Linked DNA regions of Drosophila melanogaster. The gene in region 3 interacts genetically with the main gene of each other region. Each region holds a gene or a part of one and is shown on either strand. Other genes may lie near its edges. The genes, in order: nod, Klp61F, sub and tacc.

What was found.
Region 1: of sub (region 3) and nod, changing one enhances a phenotype caused by changing the other (phenotypic enhancement), as found in Drosophila melanogaster (one study listed by BioGRID).
Region 2: of sub (region 3) and Klp61F, changing one enhances a phenotype caused by changing the other (phenotypic enhancement), as found in Drosophila melanogaster (one study listed by BioGRID).
Region 4: of sub (region 3) and tacc, changing one enhances a phenotype caused by changing the other (phenotypic enhancement), as found in Drosophila melanogaster (one study listed by BioGRID).

Annotation. Positions count from the first base shown.
Region 1 is NC_004354.4:11,579,150-11,586,266, reverse strand, and holds nod (no distributive disjunction), read right to left. Parts: upstream 5,496-7,117; 5' UTR 5,344-5,495; coding exon 5,227-5,343; intron 5,163-5,226; coding exon 4,968-5,162; intron 4,898-4,967; coding exon 4,363-4,897; intron 4,311-4,362; exon of another isoform or gene 4,229-4,310; coding exon 4,083-4,228; exon of another isoform or gene 4,074-4,082; coding exon of another isoform or gene 3,794-4,073; intron 3,735-3,793; coding exon of another isoform or gene 2,107-3,734; exon of another isoform or gene 2,092-2,106; intron 1,962-2,091; coding exon 1,771-1,961; intron 1,708-1,770; coding exon 997-1,707; intron 919-996; coding exon 813-918; 3' UTR 517-812; downstream 1-516. Other genes in the region: pkm (pinkman), read left to right, coding at 2,107-3,734, 3,794-4,073. UniProt on the Drosophila melanogaster protein: Required for the distributive chromosome segregation of non-exchange chromosomes during meiosis. May be a microtubule motor required to hold distributively 'paired' chromosomes at the metaphase plate until anaphase.
Region 2 is NT_037436.4:1,241,066-1,247,794, forward strand, and holds Klp61F (Kinesin-like protein at 61F), read right to left. Parts: upstream 4,846-6,729; 5' UTR 4,576-4,845; coding exon 4,496-4,575; intron 4,430-4,495; coding exon 4,129-4,429; intron 3,936-4,128; coding exon 2,603-3,935; intron 2,538-2,602; coding exon 1,327-2,537; intron 1,263-1,326; coding exon 1,011-1,262; intron 961-1,010; exon of another isoform or gene 927-960; coding exon 903-926; 3' UTR 503-902; downstream 1-502. Other genes in the region: galene, read left to right, coding at 1-156, 212-417; CG32318 (uncharacterized protein), read right to left, coding at 5,008-5,422, 5,489-5,568; Psf1 (partner of Sld five 1), read right to left, coding at 6,001-6,609. UniProt on the Drosophila melanogaster protein: Important role in mitotic dividing cells. Microtubule motor required for spindle body separation.
Region 3 is NT_033778.4:17,744,971-17,749,599, forward strand, and holds sub (subito), read right to left. Parts: upstream 3,109-4,629; 5' UTR 3,009-3,108; coding exon 2,468-3,008; intron 2,407-2,467; coding exon 1,208-2,406; intron 1,150-1,207; coding exon 1,003-1,149; 3' UTR 892-1,002; downstream 1-891. Other genes in the region: Ir54a (ionotropic receptor 54a), read left to right, coding at 1-891; CG10931 (uncharacterized protein), read left to right, coding at 4,048-4,629. UniProt on the Drosophila melanogaster protein: Required during female meiosis for bipolar spindle formation in the absence of the centrosomes and chromosome homolog segregation. Also has roles in male meiosis and mitotic divisions of the early embryo.
Region 4 is NT_033777.3:4,743,411-4,748,110, reverse strand, and holds the start of tacc (transforming acidic coiled-coil protein), read left to right. Parts: upstream 1-1,696; 5' UTR 1,697-1,936; coding exon 1,937-2,314; intron 2,315-3,445; coding exon 3,446-3,647; intron 3,648-3,928; coding exon 3,929-4,700.

The DNA.
Region 1 (7,117 bases), on a different chromosome or scaffold from region 3:
TCGCTGAGAACTGGATGCCCGCAGACTGATTTTTTTTCTTTAAAAAATATATTCTATAGCTTGATATTATTTTGGTTGTTATATCATGGCTAGATTAATGAATCAACGCTCGGGAAACCCAAACAGAGTATTTTGATGTTTGAAGCGAAGGGAAATCGGATAAGATTTCCAGCCAAAAGAGAGTAGGAATGTGTATGGAATGCCGATTTCCAGCGCCATGTGTTTGGATTGGATTGGCAGCTTATCTCGTATGCTAATCGTATGATCATACATACCTATATACATATATATATCAAATATGTATGTATGTATATACCAAATCAACCAGGAGAGAGTGCTAACTAAACTGGAATCGAAGCGGCCGAAACTGATGGATTCGTAGATAGAATCCCCCTGTTGAGTGAGTGCGAAGAGTGAAGATCGACGACTTCAATAATCAATGTATATATATATGTATATTGTCTAAAAATTATATGCCAAGAATAAAAAGTGTCAAAGTGTAAAAGTCCTATTATTATTGTTATTGACCTAAAAGTTATTTTACTTTAAATCAAAAAATGCAATTAAATATTAGATTACATAGCGCTTATTTAATAGGTAGTCTAAGCTATCATCAAATAAATTATAGTCGAAAACAAAAAATAAGTAAACATCTTGAGAAATATTACACATACACATATATAACTGTTTGTTTTAGGATATCCGGCTCCTTTTTTTACTCCTACTATAGTTGTAAAATCAAAGTATATGCCACATAAATAACAATCACTATACTATATTCGAATTAAAATGCTATTTAATTAGTAATTGTATCAAGTGTCGAGACAGTTAATTTGACAAAATCGTTCCCATTTATTTCCCGACCAAATGGGCAGGGATTTGACTTGAAAAAGATTCTCGAAGCAACCCAGGCGGGATCTGAAAAATGTGGATTACGGATTAAGGGTTATTGGGTAAAACGCAAATAAAGGTATGCCAACTATGTAAGTAACTTACCTGTGCAAGGCCAAACTAAAGGCGGACTTTGGACCGATCCCTGGAATCTCCTGCAATTGCTTAACGTTTCCATTGTTAAGCAGGTCCAGAAAACATTTTGTATTATTGGCCATCCAGGCCTTGGGCGCAGGTTTCACGTTTCGCGTACGTTTTTTTTGCACTGTACTTCGAAGGTGCGGTATCGCATCCGTCTCGTTTTTCACAACAACGGAGGTGGCATGTTCCCGGATTCCCGCCAGCCGCGTGCTGCGCCGCAAATTCATAACCTTGGGAATGGCTCCATAGTTCTGCGAACGCATGCTACTCGCTAGACGCACGGAACGACGAAGGCATGGCTGCTGTGGCGAAGCCACTACTGTCTCCTCCATTGGCTGGATGCCGCTAAGTTCTCGCTGAGAGCTGGATGCCCGTAGACTGATGGGACTGATGGTGGTGTTGAACAGCTGGCAGCGTACAGTTGTGGGCACCGTGGGGGCAACCATTGACTGTTGCACCTTTGACGATTCCTTGGGCTCGGTCTCTTCGACAATGCCCATTAGCGTAGAGTTCTGGCTGCTGGCTTGCCTTGGCTCTTGCCCTGTTGGGGGAGGCATTAAATGCCTATCCTTATCGCTATCGCTATGGAAACCCAACAGACTCAGACTGCTGTCCTGAATGTGTATAGACGAGAGCTCCAGCGTGGTCTCCTCCAGCTCCAATAGCTCGCGAGCCCTATGGAGGAAGATATGGGAGGATTAGATCATCTTCGCTTTTGGTCCATTCCGTGTTACTCACCTTTTCTTAGCTTTGGGCGTCATGCCAAGTTCGGAGCGAGTTCGATGGAGCACGGCGCTCAGCGGCTTGGTTGTGCTATATTTGGATTTTGGAACCACTATGCTATTATGATTGGCTGCGTTTGACTTGATGGCCGTCGAGGTGCATAGCGCTTGGCGGAAGACGTGTGTTGTCCGTGCGGCCAGCGATTGCTGCAATCAGAGCAAGATGGGTGGATGAAACTCGAGTAACTGCATCGTTCGATTTGCGGTCAGTGCGGTTGGAATGAGTTCGGTTCGGTACGGCTTGGTTTCTCTATATAAACGATCCACACTCGCGGCGGTGGCGTAGTGTGCCATGGAACAGCCCAGTGAGAAGACGCAGGAGGGGGAGCAGAAAGATCGCCAAAGTCAGGAAGTGATAGAAGTGGCATCCGATCAAGGAAATTCACCAGACTCAACAGAAAGTTATCCAGATGTCGATCAGAAGTCACCTAAACGAATTGATGTTGAGGAACCAAAGGAGGAGAACTCAAATAACAGCGAAGCAGTGCAGGATTTAGAAGATAATCGTGTGAAAAAGGAGGAATTGGTGGCAGAGTTGGAGGAACCGAGAGGTGCTGAGGTGGAGCACATTGAAAAACAACTAGCCAAAGAGATTGATTCGAAAGTGATCGACAAACAAGAGCTCAAAGGCATAGAGGAGCTTGATAAAAAAATTCCCCAGTTGAATCAAACATTTGGAGATCAGTTGTTGGAAGGAGATGATGAGCCTGAGGCGAAATCAAAGGATGAGCTGGCAGAGAATGCGGACAGGGAAAAACTAGCAGAAATCTCTGCGAGTGAGATTCAGCTCACTGGCAACCTAGCAGCTCCAGCAGAGCAAGTTGATCAGAAGGAAGCCGAACCAGATCCACATGAAGACACCGAAGATGAACGAAATGGGGAGGTGAATAGAGAGCACCCAGACAGGATGGAGAGTCCTGTAGAGCAACAAGAGGACACAGCCAAGCCAGACGAAGATCTGCCCAACGAGCAGGTTACACAGTTCCTTCGCCAACTGGTCAGCCAGCTGTGGCCAGAGCTGGGCGCCAATCCGGAACTGCGTCTGGAAAGGGCGAGTGCCAAGGGCGACAACTATTTGGGCGTGGTGTGGCGCCTACAGGCGGCATCCGATTCGAAACGCAGCCTGGTGGTTAAACTGCCGCCACAGAATCGCGTGCGCCGCAAGCAATTCTTTGCACGACCATGTTTCCTGCGCGAGACGGCAGCATATGAGGTCTTTCTGCCGCTGACTGCGTTAATTCAGGATAAGTGGAAGATAATCGGAGATGATCGTTTCCGGCAGCACGCGCTCTGTTTCGGAACTCGCCAGGATGAGCCCAACGAGTGCATCGTGCTGGAGGATCTGTCTTGTGCCGGCTTCTCACTGCACAATCGCTTTCTCGACCTATCCGTCGAGCATGTGCGTCGCGTAATGCTCACCTATGCCAAATTACATGCTATATCATTGGCCGGGAAACGGCAGTTGCCCGAGAAAATGCAACAACTGCAGCAGCTGGTGGATATCTTTGAGCAGCGACGCGATGATCATGCCTTGGGGGTCTACTTCGAGAATCTGAAGGAAAGCGCCCTATCCGCACTGCTCGCACCGGCGGATGATGCATACAGAGTTCGTCTGGAGGCGTACTTCGCCAGAGGATCGTACTTTGAGCTGCTGCTGCCTTTGGTCAGCGGATTCAATTGCGAACCCTTCGCTGTTATTTGCCACGGCGATTGCTGGAATAACAACATTCTCTACAAGAGTACAGAGCGGGGCGAGCTCGAGGACGTGCGCCTGATCGACTGGCAACTGATGCGATATGCCTCGCCGGTCACCGATCTAGCTTACTTCCTCTTCACTTGCACTTCGCGGCGATTCCGGCAGCGACACCTCGAAAATATGCTCGAGGATTACTATGAAGAGTTGGGCCTGCAGCTGATTAGGTAAGTAAAAGTATAAGAATCCTAGAGCTTCAACTATTGTATTGTTGTGTTCGCAACAGACTAGGCGAGCGGGTGGAGCAACTTTTTCCCCGTCCTGCATTCGATGAACAGGTGGCTACCAAAGCGGCTGTGGGCCTGCTTCTCGCCATGATGGTTCTACCCATTGTAACGATGCAGGGTCAGGATGTGCCCGACCTTCAGGCAATTAGCGAGCGCATCGAGGCGGGGGCCACTACGGATCTCCATGGAGCTGGTTTCCTGGGCGCGGGCAACGAGGCTACATTTAAACAGCGTATACGCGAGGTGATCCTCGACTGTGTGGACTTTAATTACATATAGATGGCTCACCTTCTGGCGCGCCACTTGCATCGGATTCAGCCGAAGCTTCTTGGCACTGGTGCCAAAACGCAGGGTGGACAACGTCTCGCTGAGATCGCATTGATGCGGACTGATGCAGGCCAGAAAGGTCAGATACGACTGCGCGGTTAGCGAGGCTGCAAAGAATGAAAACGGCAAGAAGTTGCAGTCAATATTTATAGTAGTCACTAAGTCGCTAATCAATAAAGGCTTGAACCCAAATGGTCCACTAACTAATTGAGCATGAGACGATCCAAAACGTAGCACTTACCCTGCAGAACTGTGGTAAGGACGCTGTCGCGGTATGGTATCACTGTGTGGCCCGCCGCCATGGACATCACCACCTTGTTGATGCTCAACAGGCCCAGATTGATGTTGACGCCCTCCTGCCTGGCCACGCCCTCGTGCCCAGTTCGCCGCACGCCTTCTGAACCGGCCAGATCCACAATATTCATCCGCGAGTGATGGGTTTTACTCTTCACGTGAATGGTGACTATGGCATGGGATCGCGAACTATTGGAATTCATATTGGTGGGACGAACGCGTCGATTGCGAGTGCCTAGCTCCAAGATGTGATGCAGATCCGCCTGGCTGTGCAAAGGAAGGCAGGTGCATCGCTGGCAACGCGCCGCCACCATGGGCATATGTGGCGTGGAGCCCAGCAGATCGAAGGGTTTCTCATTGTAGATCTCTATGAAGGAGGCGTACACCTGAATCGCATCCTTGTTGTTCTCCTGCCGGGCGGTCACGCGCTCAAAAATGTCGCCCAGGGCGCGAGGCAGAATACCCAGGTGCTCGGGCAGTATCTGTAAAGGAATAGAAGCGATAGATCAGTGGGAAAGATTTAAGCCACTGATGGCTAAACGAAAAACCCACCTCTCCCGGAGGTGTCATGCCCATTGAGTAGCTCTTGCCCGTTCCCGTCTGGCCGTAGGCGAGTGCAGTGCACTGGAATCCCTCGAGCAGCTTGTCCACCAGCGGCAAGATCAGCGCCTGGTACATCTCATCCTGGCTGATGGTCGCGGGAAAGGCGTGATCGAAGTGGAATTCATTCTGATCCACTATTAACGACTACAAAGCGAGATGGCGGTCATATACCGTTAGACATGCACATGGCCAATGGTGGGGCACATACCTTTCCGTCGCTCCATGGCGGAAACTGGACGACGCTGGGCTCCCGACGCCCCAAGAACTGGCGGTACGGCGCCTCGCGGACCGCAATCCGAACTGCGCTTAATTTGGCGCCCTCCATGCAGATTGAAGAATTGAAGTTGTTTGAATAATGCACAATTGGCTTGCATTCACCGTAATTATTTTACTTTTTTGACGAAGCCAAGCGACCTTTGCATTTCAAATTGATTTTGGCAGTGTGACCGTCGCGGTAATAACACTAAGAACGATCTGGGTTGGTGTCATGGATATTTACATTGTGGCTTGTGACCTCGCTTTTGGTATGTGTATGTTGTAGGGGCCATCTCTAATTTAACTTAATCTTGCTAAAATACTGCACACAACTTAACATGTTTTGCAAACATATCGTGCACAATGGCATCGCTATTGTTCATGAGCATAACATTACAGAACTCTGTTAATGCGCCACCCTTGCCAGCCCTGGCCTGCGCTGCCACCCTATATGATTATAGACACACATAGCAAGTGCGGAGGATCGGTATTGCCAACTTATTAAAACAGGAACAAGAACTAACAAATTTGATGGAAAAAAAGCCGCTTAAAACAGTATTTGCAATAGCAGATAAGTCTTTATTTGTCATATGTAATTTAAGTGTCAGTTCTGGTCACCCTGGAAACCAAGGTGGCAGCCCTAAAAGCATCTCGAATTTCCGTTACTTTTAGCGCCAACAAAATGGCGGAAATGTATTTGCAGTTAATTAGTATTGCCATCTCTCTCTAAGCCAGCACCGTTCGCCTTCTCTTTCTTTTCAAGACTCGTATACGAGAGAGATCGCCTCTCTATTGTCATCTCGCTCTAAATCGATCTGTATTATTTGGCAATTGTTAAGTTTCGTATAACATTTCACTAGTTATATGAAATTTACCAATTTATTTTGTATTTTGACTGGTTAAGGCGCGTAAAACGTTACCCATATATGCATATATATTTGCTTAATTTGCAACATTTTACACGTCTTTTAAGACTTCAGTTTGCATTGCGACTTGTACAATGTTGCGTTCCAAGACACATTTTTTTGTCTTGTATTGTATTGTATTGCATATTGTATATTGTATATTGTATATCATTCATTTTGTTTTGTAGCTTGACAAGCGCGTCAACCATGAAAACAATTCGTTTGTGATTTCCAAATAGTCGTACTCATCTCACTGTCCGTAAGACAATTCAACTTAAACATTTTCGACTATGCGGAAATCGTTACTCTTGCTTGATTTTGCTTCGGAGAACGTTTCGAACGATTATCAATGTGATTCGAAACGATCTCTAAAGCTATATGTAACACCAATTTACCCTTTCGATGGCCATCCGAGCTACCTAAACGAAAGAGAAGAGGATGGAATTAGGATTGTCATAGGCGCAACGTGTCGGAAAATCTAATTCAATGGATGCTACACTGGTTGGATTTGGATTTATGTTTTATTTTTTTGGAGAGGATCTCGGAAGTAACGTACTCACTTGCAGCTAGTTGGAGACTGAATGGAAAAGCGAGGGAAAATTGAGCGGGTGTTATTAATAGGTCACCACCATTTTGCTGCCAGAATTCGAGTTCAAGTGTGTATACGTTGCACTGCGCGGAGTACTCACCAGCTCGATGGGAACTGTACCAAGTGGATGGATTCTAAACACCCCGAACTTCTTTTTTGTGTTAAATTTATGCGAGTGCAAGGCAATCGGAGAAAAACAAGAGCAAAATGCCAATTGAATGAGTAATCAGTGTGTATGTATACCAGAAAATAATGAACTCAACTGCAAACGTGTCTTTTCAGTGTCTTTTGGATCAAAGGAAGTGAAGTTTTCAATTTAGAAATAATAGCAACCAAACTAATACCTCTAA
Region 2 (6,729 bases), on a different chromosome or scaffold from region 3:
GAGATCTGCTGCCCAAGGATCGACCTGTCCCCATTTGGTTATGCGTCTTTCTGGTAGTGAGCTACATCCTTGGCGGAGCTGTTCTTTTTGCGTACTGGGAGAACTGGTCCTTCTTGGATTCCGCCTACTTTTGCTTCATTACACTGACAACAATCGGTTTGTGTTTATCCCAATTCCTTGCGCACTCTTTTCATCTGCTTTTGCATTACAGGATTTGGTGACTTTGTCCCCGCGAAAGGAGTCAAGGACGAGTCGGAGCAGTCCATCGCCTATTGCTCGCTGTACCTTCTTTTCGGCATTGCCTTGTTGGCCATGAGTTTTAACCTGGTCCAGGAGGAGTTCATTGCCAATGTGAAGGAGGTAGCCCGCCGTCTGGGCATTCTTAAGGATGATGACGACGAGCAGGATGAGGATTAGTAATAGATAGATAGATAGTTATGACATCTGTTTTTTCCTAAATATGTTGGATGCTCTAATTATAAGGAACACACTTTGAAAGATGGATATTTAATATGTTTAAATGTTTTATGAAAAAAAACTTCAACAAATTTAAATTCACAAACGAGAATATGATAAGTAAAATAGTTAAGATTATATTAATTATAAAGCGCTTCCTTGGAAGGCATGACATCATTAAAAAACCAAATTCACTTCTTCCCTAAAAAATAGTATCGAAGTTTAAGAATACCTTCTGATATATCTTAAACCTGCACTTGAACTAAAGATTTCCTTAACTTTACATAGCATACTGAGTTTATTTAAATAATAAATGTACGAAATTCCAAAGATTGATATACAGATAAAATGAATATCCAGAAGAGCCAAACAAACACAGCGATCCGAAATCCACTAACATAAACGGGTTACTGGGAAGGGGAGACTACTACTGTCATCGAATGCAATCAGGCTACGTTTTCTTTGTTGTGCTAAAAATATTGAAAATAAAAGCAATGATAATATATCCCCACCCTTTATTTGTTAAGTCATTAGCGGACTTGCACTTGACTTACCCTGACGAAGGCGGGAGAACCTCGAGGTGACGTTTTACTGGGTGTCAGGGAACGTGACAACGAGCTGCTGCGTTTTCCACCAGTAGCTACGGGTGGCTTTAGGGCGTTCGAATTGGAATTGCGGGTGGTGCCGCACCCACGCTTCACGGTGACACCATCCACGGGCTCAATGGGCGTGGAGTTCATTATGGTTTCAGTTTCGGACAGCTCCTGGACGGAATGCATGGAGACGTCATGCTCACCCTCGCTGCACTACGGATTGGAAACATAAAAGTTGGTGCTTTTCAACATACAAGGTTGAAGGATTTTAGGTTACCTCATCTATAGTGGCCGTGGTGTCCAGATCTGACCAGTCCAGCTCTTGGCGATAGCGCCTCACAATTTCCTGATGTGGCGACGTGGCCACGAGGGTGCGCGGATAAACGAAATCCCTTTTGGAGGGCGTGGTCCCAGTTGGGGCGTACGTTTTCAACTCCGACTGTTGGAAGCGTACAAGCTCTTGCTCGCAAATTTGCAGCTGCTGCCGTTGGTGTTCAGCATGCTCCGAGAACTGCCGGTTCGACTCTTGGACAAGATCAGTGGCTACAGTGGCATGGCCTATGAATCGCTGTCTGTCCTCGGTGATAAGCTGCTGCCTTGCATCCACCATCTGTTCCAAGTTAACTTCGGTTTTCTCCTGCACCGCCTCAAGCTGCTGCTTGCTCTCTTGGCAAATAATTTCCACCTGATTGTGGTGCACTCGAACGGAACCAACATTCTCATTTGTTTCCTTTTCGTATTTCTGGTTGAGATTCTTCATGTGCACCTGAAGCATCGAACAGTTGGCAACGCCTTGGTCCAGACAAAGCATTCCCGCCTCCATTTGGCTGGTGAGCTCCGCTTGTGCGGATTGGGAAGCTTCTATGCCCAACTTTTGGTAGTCTTGGATACCAGACTTAATATCATCGATGCGATGATTTCTCGTCAGTCGACTCTCCTCCATCTTATTAAGATGTACGGACATGCTGATGCTATTTTTGGACCGCAAGTTCTTGATCTGTTCCATCTGCATCATCATGGACTCAAGGAGAGCATCCTCCTGCTGCGCCAGAGCTCGTTCATTCGCCAACTCCTCTTGAAGATTCTGCAGTTCCTCCGCATCTGGCAAACTCATTGCCCCGAGCTGCTCCAACTTCTTGTGCATTTGCTTCGCATGTTCTTCCACAGACTGTAAGCTGCTGTCAATTATGGTGGCGAACTTTTCCTGCATAGAGTCCAGCATGGCTTTGTGCCGCTGGTTGTTTTCCTCGATCACCTGCAGGTTAGTCTGAATTTCTTTGCTCATCAAAAGCTGTTGCTGCTGCATCTGCTCCATCAGCTTGGCGACAAATGCCTGAGAGTGCTGATCGCTGATCTTCATGACTTCTCCTATTAACTTATTATGGAGGTTGGTCTGATCCTGTAGCGATTGGGCACACATCTCCTTAAGCATTTCGATGCTTTTGCTGGAATTTAGTGCAAGGCGTTGGCTCACATAGCTCGAGTTTACTGGAGATTTATAAAATTTTACTTATGTACAATAATATACAAATTGATTTCTGTAGATAGCTTACCCATTTCCTGGCTTAGCTGCTCCTTGAGGGCTGCCTGCTGATCCTGATACAAGTTCAGGCTGCCACCGATCATTTCCAAATTATCCTGCATACGATCTTTGAACTGATCGCAAGATCGGCGAATCTTCTCATCCAACTCACGCCTTCTTTCGATGGTTCCGTGCAGCTGATGAGTATCATCAGTGGCCAGATCAGCAGCGGCTAGGATCTCCTGAGCCTGTGTGGTCAAAACCTGCTCCGTTTTCATATGCGAGGCCACCAACTCCTTTTTTTCCTTGTATCGTCGCTTGGTCTTGGTCAGCACTTTCTTGGTCAGGAGCAAAGTACCCTTCGTGTTCAGTAGGTTCTCCTCGGTCTTTTTCAGCTCCTGCGTTTTCTCCACAAGACTCATGCTCACCTCACTGAAGATCTTCTCCTTGTTCTGGAGTTCGTCCTTCAAAGCCTTGAGCAGCAGCATTTTCTCGTTAAGCTCGCGGTTCTGGGATTCTAACTTCAAAGTTATCTCCCCGTAGGTTTCCTCGGCCAAATAGATGCCATTCTTGTCCCTGGCCGCCATAAGATCTCTTTTAAGCTTGTCGATTTCTTCGGTGTATTCCTTGAGCACAGTCTTTTTGGTCAGCTTCTGATTGACTTCGGGCTTGTTTTGAATGTTCTTGGCGCGATGAGCGTACTCTAAAGTGCTCAGGGTCTCCTCGATGTCCTTGTGGCCCGGCGATATGGTGGCTATGATGGAGGTCTTGGTCCTGCCACCCAGAGATTCTTGCAGCAGTCTAGTCAGCTTTGATTCACGATATGGAACGTGAGGAGCGCGATCGACCAAAGCGGTAATTACTCTACCGAGAGTCAAGAGGCTCTGATTGATGTTTACTGTTTCCCGCACACGTATTCCCTTTTCATTCCCAGCCTTGGAAACATTTTCACTGCCCGCCAGATCCACCAGATTCAGTTTACCGATTTTCAGCATGTCCTCTCCTTCGATGCCATTCTCCCTGATGTGCACAACTATAGAAAATACAGTGTGGGAGCGTGAGGACTGTGCATTCATCAGCGTAGTGGCTGTTTTGCGACGCTCCTTTCCCTTCTCCAGCAGCTTGTACACATCATCCTTGCTGTGCACTGGTATCTCCTCCAGGCCCTGGATAATCACCGATCCCTTCTTGGTGCTGTCATCGAAAATGCGTATCTTGGTGGTGTCATCGGTGGACAGTAGATCGCACAGCTCCTCATTGTACAGTTCCAAGTAGGAAATGCGCATAGTGTACTCCACCTCCATCATGCGCAGCTCATCGAAAAGGTGACTCAGAGCGCGCGGTATGATGCCAATGTCAGAGTCCTAAGCGGGAAGACAAATTGGAAAAGGTTAGATTAGCGATTCTTAGAAAAGAAAAACTGGTTTCGATGGCCTTGAGCCAGATGGCTAAGAATGGCAAAGACCTTTTTTGTTTGGTTAAACTGCGAAAGTGAGAATGTAGGGCCCTACGCTGATATGGTTGATATGGTTTTGATTTGAATTTTTGTTCACTCACATCTTCCCAGGAGGATTTCAGTTCGGCAGTCTCGTTGCCCACCATGGTGTGGGTCTTCCCTGTGCCCGTCTGGCCATAAGCAAACACCGTGCAGTTATAGCCATTGAGGACCTCCTCGATCAGCGGAGACACCACGACGGAGTAGACATCGCACTGCTTGGACTCGGGGCCAAAACTGCGGTCAAAGGTGAACTTCTTGGTGAGCTTGGAGTCCAGCGTGTGGCGGGTGACCACTTCCCGTGGTCCGACCACATCCACGACTTCGGCCGAGCGGATGCAACGTTCCCGAGAATTAAGGGGTCTACAAAAGATATAGAAGATATATGTAGATCTTTTTAAGGGGTTTTGGTTACATATACAAACTCACCTGACGCGCACATACACCTGGATGTTTTGGTTGGACTTCTTTTGGGGCTGGCGCGACGTATTCCCACCAGATATGTCCATATTGATCAATTGAAACAATTAATTGTGGTTTTAGCGCGTACAGTCCAAAAAATGACGCCTGTCGCGTGTATCGGTATGCGTGTGTGTGTGTGTTTGATTCCTGGAAATCCTTGTGCTTCACCTTCCACCGAGCCGAATGCTGATAACTGTAACTACTATTTACAGAAGGCTGGCGTGGAAAACCAATTTTCGCACTATTTCCAATGAGAACAGAGAGAAGCAGCGTCTTCAGTTGTCCGTTCAATTTTAAAATAATGCGCAAATAGTGTGACCGCAACACGGCACCCTGAAAATACCAACATCGAAAAATACAAGTATTGGAAAACTACAGAATGTTCAAATTATTTGAATTAAATAATTTTTTATCTTTTATTTGTTCTACATTAAACCATTAAATATGTATAGTAAACTCTTATTATCAAATAATCCCGACTAGGCTATGTGGTGAAGAATGCCCTGCCTCACGAGAGACTCCACCTGAGCTCGGGGCAGATAGTGCTGGCTGTTCTTCTTCAGGTGGATCACCTCGCCGTCGTCCAGCTCGAACTTCCCATAGTCCTCCATGCAGCGCACCTCGATGTAAAGTGACTTGGGCGGACGCAGATTGTTGCCCGTCTGGCCATAAGCAAACACCGTGCAGTTATAGCCATTGAGGACCTCCTCGATCAGCGGAGACACCACGACGGAGTAGACATCGCACTGCTTGGACTCGGGGCCAAAACTGCGGTCAAAGGTGAACTTCTTGGTGAGCTTGGAGTCCAGCGTGTGGCGGGTGACCACTTCCCGTGGTCCGACCACATCCACGACTTCGGCCGAGCGGATGCAACGTTCCCGAGAATTAAGGGGTCTACAAAAGATATAGAAGATATATGTAGATCTTTTTAAGGGGTTTTGGTTACATATACAAACTCACCTGACGCGCACATACACCTGGATGTTTTGGTTGGACTTCTTTTGGGGCTGGCGCGACGTATTCCCACCAGATATGTCCATATTGATCAATTGAAACAATTAATTGTGGTTTTAGCGCGTACAGTCCAAAAAATGACGCCTGTCGCGTGTATCGGTATGCGTGTGTGTGTGTGTTTGATTCCTGGAAATCCTTGTGCTTCACCTTCCACCGAGCCGAATGCTGATAACTGTAACTACTATTTACAGAAGGCTGGCGTGGAAAACCAATTTTCGCACTATTTCCAATGAGAACAGAGAGAAGCAGCGTCTTCAGTTGTCCGTTCAATTTTAAAATAATGCGCAAATAGTGTGACCGCAACACGGCACCCTGAAAATACCAACATCGAAAAATACAAGTATTGGAAAACTACAGAATGTTCAAATTATTTGAATTAAATAATTTTTTATCTTTTATTTGTTCTACATTAAACCATTAAATATGTATAGTAAACTCTTATTATCAAATAATCCCGACTAGGCTATGTGGTGAAGAATGCCCTGCCTCACGAGAGACTCCACCTGAGCTCGGGGCAGATAGTGCTGGCTGTTCTTCTTCAGGTGGATCACCTCGCCGTCGTCCAGCTCGAACTTCCCATAGTCCTCCATGCAGCGCACCTCGATGTAAAGTGACTTGGGCGGACGCAGATTGTTGGTTAGATCAATGGGCAAGCCCTGGTTGTAGCCCGCACTGCACATGTAGGCAGCCAGGGACTTGGAGTAGTTGTTGAAGAAGGTGACCTCCGGTTCGCAGAGTGCCTGCTTGATGTCCCCGGGGATAATGGGTCCAAACTCCCACCTGAGGGCCTTGATCCTCCTGCACCGCTCGTATAGGTAGGCCAGCAGGCACCTCTTGTTCCTCTGGAGAGCTGCGTGCCTGAAGTTGAGCAGGGGCCACAGACTGCGATCCCCGGAAGCATTGTAGCTGGAGGCCTGGGCCACGTTCTCCTCGAATATCGCCTTGATCTCCTCCAGCACCTGGCGCACCCCATCGTCGTCGAAGGCGGGAATTGTCTGCGACGATCTCTCCAGTTCTTTTAGCAGGTCGAAGGCTTTCTCGCCGAACATTTTTGTTTGTCGGCTCATTGTTGATCCTCTCTGTTTTTCTTTGGTTTGGGGATCTAGTGATGGATTCGCGCCAAAATGTTCGTCGACTTGTGGTATCGATACTTGGTATTTCTTTTGGTATATTTCAAAAAATAACAA
Region 3 (4,629 bases):
ATTCCAATTAAGGATATTTACTTTATCCTGAGCAGTGCTTCCAATATGTTCCTGGCTATTGTTATTGTTTCCAGTTATGGATTGGCTTTGAATCTCCTTCGAAACATGACCCATCGCGATGTGCGTCTGGTGGACTTTGTGCTAAATGATAAAGCTTTACGCGGAATCTTGGGCCAATCCTTCAATTTGCCCTTGTCGAGAAGCTTCTCCACCAGGTTGATATTTCTGATGCTTGGAATAGTGGGTCTTAATGTGAGCAGCATTTTTGGAGCGGGACTGGACACATTAATGGCTCATCCACCACGGCAATTTCAAGCACGAAGTTTCGCTGGTCTGCGTCGCACGAAAATACCATTGGTTACGACCGAGGAAGACTTTCCCACATGGATGAAACTGCGTGTGCCCATGCTGGTGGTCAATGTGAGTGAGTACAATCACTTGAGGAATGGAAGGAACACAAGCAATGCCTACTTCGCCTCCCGACTGTATTGGAATTTGTTCAGTGAGCAGCAGAAGCGCTTCACCCGAGAGCTGTTTATCTACTCCACGGATGACTGCCTGTGGTCCCTGGCGCTGCTCTCTTTCCAATGGCCGCAGAATTCCTTGTTCACAGAGCCCGTCAGCCAACTTATTTTGGAGGTAAATGCCAATGGACTCTATGACTTCTGGGTGGGAATGCACTACTACGACATGACAGCAGCTGGATTGTCCGGTCTGGAGGATCCCAGCCTGCAGTTGAAGGAAAGAGAGCACCCTACCTCGCTAAGGATTGTGGATTTTCAGTGGATGTGGCAGGCGTACGGAACATTTATGGTAATTGCGATTCTGGTATTCTTGCTCGAAGTTTCTTGGCACAGAATCACATCATTATTTGTGTCACTAGTTTATTGATCATTCACATGTTTATTGGAAAACGTGGCCAACTCTGCAACATATCAAGTTTCAAATTTAAATTTTAAAATCACTAACACTTAACAAATTAAAAATTGTGAATTAAAGAAACTAATCATCATCGAGGATTTCGATGGGAGACTTAGATTCGTTTGGATCATCAGAAATGTCCGTGTCGCTTGCAGGATTCTTAAGTTCCTCTATCTCATCTTTGAGGTCTTCTATTTGTTCTTCATACCTTCGGCGTTGAGAGGAAAGCTGTTAAATATATAGTTTATATTATATACTATTATATTATATTGTTATATTTACTAACCATAAATTCTGATTCTCTTTGCGCAATTAGTAATTTTTTCTCGCATTCGTCTTCATATTGCTTCTTGTTGTTTTGGATAATCTCCTGGTAGGTGGCAGTCAGTTCCCTTCGCAGTTTCTCCTCAAGCAGCTGCATTTGCAGCACATGATCGTACTTCAGTTGCTCAATCTCTAACTGCAGGCGCACGTTTTCGTCCTCAAGTTCCTTGGTGTAGTCGCCGCCCTCGCACGTCGACATCTTTGAGAATTCCATGAAACCACAGTAGCTGACGCGATGCTGTTTAATTACGGGCTCCTTGAAGATGATGTTCTTGGCGATGGAAGCAAAGTTCAAGACGTTCAGGTTCTCCTCGTAGTATTTATCCAGAGGGGTAACTGTCACGATCATGGCCAATTTCTCCTTGCCCAGCAAAGCAGCCTGCAACAGCATTGTTAGCTTGGAGTCGCGATATGGAATGATGTCGGCGTTTTTCTTTTTCTGAACTGTACTGGCCGCATCTAAACATCGACCCAGCACCATCAGCGACGTATTTATGTTCTTTGCTTCCTTGAGACGAAGGCCGGAGGTACCCGTGTTGTTGACGCGTTCCGAACCCGCCAGGTCGCAGAATTTGTACGAACTCTGTGTGGTGATGCCCGACCGATTGTACTTTAGTATGTCCACGGTAAAGACACAGTGCGACCGACTAGAGTTGGCGTTCACCGAGGTGGAGGCGTACGTGGAGCGCTGCTGGCCCAGCCGGAGCAGACGCAGCGCCTCCTCGCTGCTCGTCACGAAAACACTGGTCAGACCCTTGATGAACACATGGCCTTTGTTGCCCACGATCTTCAGGTTTTTTCGTGGCACCTCCCCCAGTTTGTCCTGTTTCGGCGGAATGGCTAGCAGGTCGTACACAAGTTCATTGTAGATCTCCACGAAGGACACCCAAACCAAGACGGAAACATCGGTGGAAGCCTTCGTTTCGAACATGTGGTCGCCATCAATGACCTGCTTCAGACGCTGATGGTGGGCACTGATATCCGGACATAAGTCTAAAAGTTTTTTCCGAATCTGCAGCTCTTTCAGCGAGGCGTCGTCCTGCAAGAACACGATGCTGCCATTGATTAGCTTCAGCTTGGGCGATCGGAAGACGGTGTCCTGGTAAATGGTGAATATGTTTTCCAGGGCACGCGGAATGATTCCAGCACGCACATCATCGCCTAAAAATGGATTTAAATTAACAATTGCCCAGCAAACTTGTTGCAAGTCCTCTTCGCTTACCCAGTAAGGTATACGTTTTTCCAGACCCCGATGTGCCATATGTCATAATGGTCACACATTCCTCCTCCATAATTTTGGGACCCACACAGGTATCATAGATGTCTCGCTGGCCAACGGTGCTGTCAAAGATGGAAGTGAATCCAAAGTGTTTTTCCATGCGGTTCACATTGTTGCTGGTCGAGTCCACTTTGCAGCTAGTGATCAGCACATTTGCTTCTTCCGAGACTATGTAGGCTTTGGATGCATCCTTAACGGGACGCAAGCGCAGGAAGACCTGTGGCCCCGTTTCCACGTTGCTGCTGTCTGCCGCACTGGTAGCGCATGAGGCCCCTTCGGTTGCCTCGCTCGACTGGTACTTGTACTCCGATTCCGTGTCCGAGTATTCGGAAAAACTTTCTTCCTCCGACTCCTGAATGTTGTCAAACAGACGCATCTTTTTGTTGGGTCGCGGTCGAAAGCGGCGGTCGATGGAGGGATCCCGGGCCATCAGGAAGGAGCGCACCTCCCGCCTTGGCACCTCCGAAACCTCCTTGCTGTCCATTTTGCGCTGTTTATGTGGGTTGAAGGGATACTTTTTAGTTTACTTCACTTCGCGCTATTTTTCAGACGCCAGGGGGCTGCCAACTTTACTTGAATTTCAAATGATAGCTGGCAGCTCCACTGGCTAGTGTGACCGTTGATCATTTGAATTAGCCGTTACAAAATACCATCAATAACATTTAATGTAGAAATTCAATTTTTAATAAAAAAGATAAATTTTGACAAAAAAAAATCGATAGCAACACGTTCCAGTTATTATAAATAATTTCAATTCATTCTAGTACTAGCACACATTTTTAGTATAAAAATTCATTGATTCAAACTTTATAAAATAATAAAGGCATATATGTGCAGTTAAAATCCAAATGTTACTAAAATTTAAGTTAAAAATTCACTTTAAGTCTGTTAAATTACCATGCAAATATTAAGTTCACTGACTTGATTATCGCGCATTCTCCAATTTTGCCCATATGTAAGATTAGCAGCGTCGACAAATAATTAGGTGACAAATTGCCGGCACGGCACAGCACCGGCCATTTGTTTAATGTTTGGTTAACAAGTCTGGACAGCATAACAATAACAGGCTGCGCAAATAGAGCACCCTGTCGCCAAATAAGTACTCCCTTAAAACGCAAATTAATTGGGCTTGTTTACTTTTTCCAGTCTGATTTTTTACGCCCCCTGTCTGGGAATTCAAACAAATATTGACTAAATGAGTTATAAGTAGTTGTAGAAACAATTAACAATTGTATGTACTAGACAAATATTGTAAAAAAGTGTTTAATGAATTATCAGTACGTGTGTACTTTTTCTCGCGATAATTAAAAACAGACTCAACATTTGTAGGTAATTAATTTAAAAAAATAATAAAAACTTAAAACTGGGCGCCAAAAATAATCGGGTAAATGATGAAATGAAAACCCTTTTTACAAAATATCAGCAAGCTTTTGTCAACTCAGGAACTGTCACCATCATCGCCAAGTTTTCGAACTTTTCGCAGGATTCGTAAGAAATTAAAATTGGGCGAAAAAAATAAAATTATGGAATTGATTGAAACAGCTTCGACTCCTGGAGATTCCGAAACTGAAATCGCCATCCCGGAGGCCGCTTTCGATTCCTTTAAGATGCCTATGCTACCAAGTCAGTTCCATTTGGAGAACTCCATGTCTCCGGGCTACGCCATTAAGCACTCGCTCCTCGGTCACAGTGGTTGCGTTACTGGTCTAAAGTTTAGTTCGAATGGCGAGAACTTGGTCAGCAGCTCCGGCGATAGGCTGCTTAAGCTCTGGGACTTGAGCGCAACCCGATGCATTCAATCGCTGGCCGGGCACGGAGACGGAGTCAACGATGTCGCCTGGTCGGCGGCTGGATTAATTGCCAGTTGTAGCGATGACATGACCGTGCGTCTCTGGGATGCCCGCAGCAAGCTCTGCGTCAAAGTTTTGGAGGGGCATTCCAGGTACAGTTTCTCCTGCTGCTTTAATCCGCAGGCCAATCTGCTGGCCTCCACTAGCTTTGACGAAACAGTGCGCCTTTGGGATGTCCGCACTGGCAAAACGCTCAAAATCGTCCACGCCCACCAGGATCCCATAACATCGGTGGACTTCCACCGCGATGGCAAT
Region 4 (4,700 bases), on a different chromosome or scaffold from region 3:
CCAACAAAAATGCTCATTATAAAGGATCTACAGATGGTTTCCACCCCTTTCCACATTTGCCTATTTTTAGATCAGTTTATAGTTGGCTCTTCCTCAATATTTGTTTTCTTTTATTTTCCTGAGTTCTATTGGATATTCGAATTGCAGCTTAAGGTTCAAATTCCACTTGTATTCTATTCTATTGTATTTATTGTGTTTTCTGAAATCAGTATACTCATTTGTGGCCACTATTTGGATTCCACTCAAGGCTTATATGCTTCAACAAACTACATTGGTTTTAAATTCACCCTGAGCCGGGAACCGTGTGATATCTTGTCACCTGTCGCGCGCTGCTTGGATAACGCTAGAGCCAACATCTAACTATTCCCCCCTCGTCAAGGCCCATCGTGTGGGATTCCGTTTCATTGCTTACATTTTCTCGCCAAACATGCAAAGTCAGCCGTTGGGCAATGTGGAGCTTGCAGATAGTGCGCCATGATGCGCAACAATGGCTGTGGGATTGCATGTCATCTGGGACCCACCAGGCCTCTACACTTGAAACAATGTGATGAGCCAAATCAACATATTTATTATTTTAGAGCACTCTACTTGCCTCTACTGGTATATCTTTAAGAGAAAGCATTTTGCAAATAAGACTGTTCTCCAAAAATCCTATGGAAAATGTGCAAAATAATTCTGTCATCAAAGCGTTGAATTTGCACCAAGTTCCTCCAGTTGATTTGCGAAGACAATATAAGCAGTCGGCGGTCGCCGTATTCTCGTATCCCATTTATTTATCCCCTTCTTTAAGTGTTTCGACTTATTTGCGGTGTCTTGCACTTTCACTGCTGCCTTTCAGTCTGAATTTCGTCTGAGGCCTGTATAGTTTTTCAGTTTTTCACTGCAGTTCAGTCAAAAAGGTTGTCAACTTGAGCCCGCTCTTTTGACATTATTATTTTATAAATGTTGCCCACGACCTCGACCGTTTCCAAAATGTATTTCATATATCTAAGAGAAGTGTGTTTAAATGGATCAAGTGTGTGTTGCCCTCTAGCTTCATAAAACCCAATATATTTTCTCGAAATAGAAAAGGGTAACTATTCCAACCATAGAAAGGATAAGATTTCATCTTCAGAATCACCAGCCAAGTCTATCTGGCCACTAAGACTTATATTATTTATATGCTAATAAAATCTTTGAAGGGTATATTTCTCGTAGCTCCAAAAGCTGAGTAATGGGTAGTCGAGAAAAACGACTGAGTTCTCTGTTGTTTTGATTTAATTTTCATTAGGAATATTTGTGCTTAAAAGTTCAGAGTATAACTTATCGGAACTATTTCAAGACTAAGGATGTGCTAAATAAATGTTTTAAGTTGGTATGAAATCCATAATGTGTAATATACAAAGGTGTCTCTAGCCGCCGTCTCACATGTGAAAACATATGGCAGTATTATAAATGGAAGAGAGGACCGTGCTGATAAGGGGAGAACGCCATGTGGGCTAAAACGATCCAAACATGAAGACATACGAAAACATCCGGATCGTTATGTGGATGCCATTCAAACTATTCGTTCTCTCACTCGGTCTGTCGATCCCCCGCACTCTCGCCGTGCTCTAAGTATTTGTGCATGTGTGACGCTGAGCAGAGCAAAGCAAATTGAAAACGAAAATATTTTTAAATTGATTTTAAAGGCAGACATGATCGGGAGGCAGTGAGAACCGCACGCGACAACGGGCCGTGAGAAACCCGGAGGTATTACCCAATATAATGGAAGCGGAAAATCACAGTAAAGATTTTACCGAGTAGGCGAGCCCAAATCTGTGTCACAACAAAAACCACAAAAAAAAAAAAAAAAAAAAAACACTAAAGACCAAACTAAGGAACTCTATAGATCCATTATTTTTTGGAGCCAAGTGAACCGTATCGCGTCTCAGGAGTTAATCGTGCGTAGAGCGGCATGGATTTCCTCGCGAATATCATCAAAAGACCCAAAAGCATCGCCACCACTGGCATCAGCACCAATCAGCCAACGACAATGGAAGCCCTAGAAGCTGCTAGTCCCGCTGATGAATGTTCTACACCAAGGGATAAGGGAGGAGTTACACTTGTATCCGCGCACCTGGACTCGTTACTAGAGTCCGCCTCTGAGGAGCTGCAACGACTGGAGGGAAAGCACTGTGAACTATTTATGGAATCCATCTCGAACCCACTCCCAGCCCCCGAGGACAGCACTGATAGTAGAGAAGAAATACAGAAATTTCTAAGCGAAATAAACTTCAATCTGAACCAAGTGAGTGCTAACGAAATGGAGCACTTGCAAGCCATGAGTGGCGAGGTATGTCTGAAAGAATTAGGACTATCTTTTTATGTGCATCCCTGGGGGGGGGGGGGGGGGTGTTCTAGTATTAGGCAAACTGCATAAATCTACACATTGGAATTTTTTTGTAATGTCCCAATGTGTTTTGCCGATTGCATATATAGTATTTATGCGGTTCCACTTGGTTTTGTCACCTTATTGCGTTGCAGAAAATATTATTTTAAATAGGGTTGTATCTAGCCATTAGCTTGGGCTAATATTCCGCAGGAATCTGCTTCCCATTACCACTCAAATTTGAGCCCATTGTCAAAAAATTAAAATTAAAATACTTATCAATAAAATCGAAACGGAGAAATTGGTCTAATGCCAGAATTTTCCTAATTTTTAGTGTCTCGCTCATAAGCCGGTCACCACTCGCCTTATTCTTCTGACTTTAACCTTGCAGCACCCATTATACTGCAATGCGCTCTAATTAAATTCCGCGTGTAGAACGATGCTCCCAAACCTAAATAGACATTAAACATGGCGGCCGGCCGCATTGAATCCGCGGCATGTTTATTTCGCACTGCACAAAAGCTGACGTCGACCCAGTTCCACGTCCATCTCCCCACCTTTTGCTCCTCAATCCGTTTCGTTGCCACCCTCCCAAACATATGCCATATACCCGATTTTTACGTCTTGGCTGGCTTTTTAATTAATGACATTTGCTTTTGTTGACTGACCGACTGCGACAAACATTTGAAATGTATGTCTTTTTTAAGCGTGAATTGAAGGCATCTGTATCATATGGGCTACATTAGATGAGATTGAAGTTTTTCAAATGAAGATCATAATTTCATAATAATGTATTCTTTTGTATATGATAATAACTAAAAATGGGGGTCCTATGCCTTTGTATAATTTCTTGGCAATGGGAAAATACGGGAAAAGTCATCCCAAATGCGATTTATTTATGCCAACTGTGGTGGGGCTCTTGCCTTTTTGTGTGTCAAAAATTCTTAATTAAATGACCAACCAGCTGCTACTCGTGATCATCTTTAAAACCCCATTCCCAACATCGGTTGTTCACGGTTTAAAACTATTCGGATCATGACCGCGATGTACATCTTGATAACTATATTCTTAAATTTTGCATCTCTTGTTTGGCAGCTGAGTCCGTTGGCGGTGAAGCCCAGTCCCAAGCCAACGAGCATGGATCAACAGAAGGCAATGGCGGCAGCTCTGGGGCATCAGACGGCGGTACCCGGTGGACTTAAGCCAGAAGACGACCTCGTTCCAAAGTTTGGAGGTCTTCCCGAGTTCGATGAGACGCAAATACCGGAACTAGCTCCTTTAAGTACCGATATGGATAGTGAGTAAATCTTGTTTGTGTAACCCAGAAATCTCTTAAGGTAGAAAAATTATATTGATGTACAAAAGAATTCCATACGAAATCCGCCAGAAGAGCGAAGTAATTTCTTCTATTTCAATACCGTCATTTATACAAAGGAAAGGGCCAGCTGGGGAAAATAAATCATTTCCAAGTTTATGTATAAATTTCTCGTTGTATTAATTATATAAATAAATTTCTTATATGTATTTAATTATTATTAAAACGAATTGATTAATATATCGCATTCATTCCTCCCTTAGCTCAACTGAAATCCAACCATTCGGATTCGGATGTTTTTGTCGAGTGTTTATCGCTTCATAGCGAGCGCTACACCGGAGATCGATCGGAGTTAGAGGCATATTCAAGTGCCCTTAATGATGTTTTGGAGCAGCAGCTGTCCATGACCTCAGTTTCTACACTGGGAGCTGAATTCAACGATCCTTTGGCAGTTAGCCAGCACAACAACGTCAGCTATGAAGCCATGGATGTGGATGACCTAAACGAAACCATGGAAATGTTAAAGGACGTCTTGAATGCGGAAGACCGTCATCTTATGCAAACGCATATTCTCAGCGTAACCCAGTCAAAACCAGAGAATAATTTTGTGCACTATCATCCAAATCAGGAGCAAAATAGGGTTGAACTAGACCAGTTAGCCAAACACTCTAAACCCAATAGTGATGCAAAGGAATCAGAATCATTGGTAGAATCAGTACTGTCTGAGGAGTCTGGTACACAATCCTTTGAGCCGAAGCTCACCTTATCTGCCTTGGACTCTACGAAAGACTTAGCTAAGCATCAAGAGGAAATGCAAACAAATACAAAAGATATATTTCAGAAAGAGAAGCACCACCCGGTCAGTAGTGCTCAGGTGAAGGACGCACAAAATCCTAAGGAGCCTGAAAAGGCCTTAAATCTCAAAGAGGCTTCTTCAGAACTGTCCACAAAATCAGCAAAATCTCTAGAATACCCTAATCAAGAGAAGCAATTTTCGGTGGCAGTAGAATCAATGGAGAGACCATGCACTGCCAT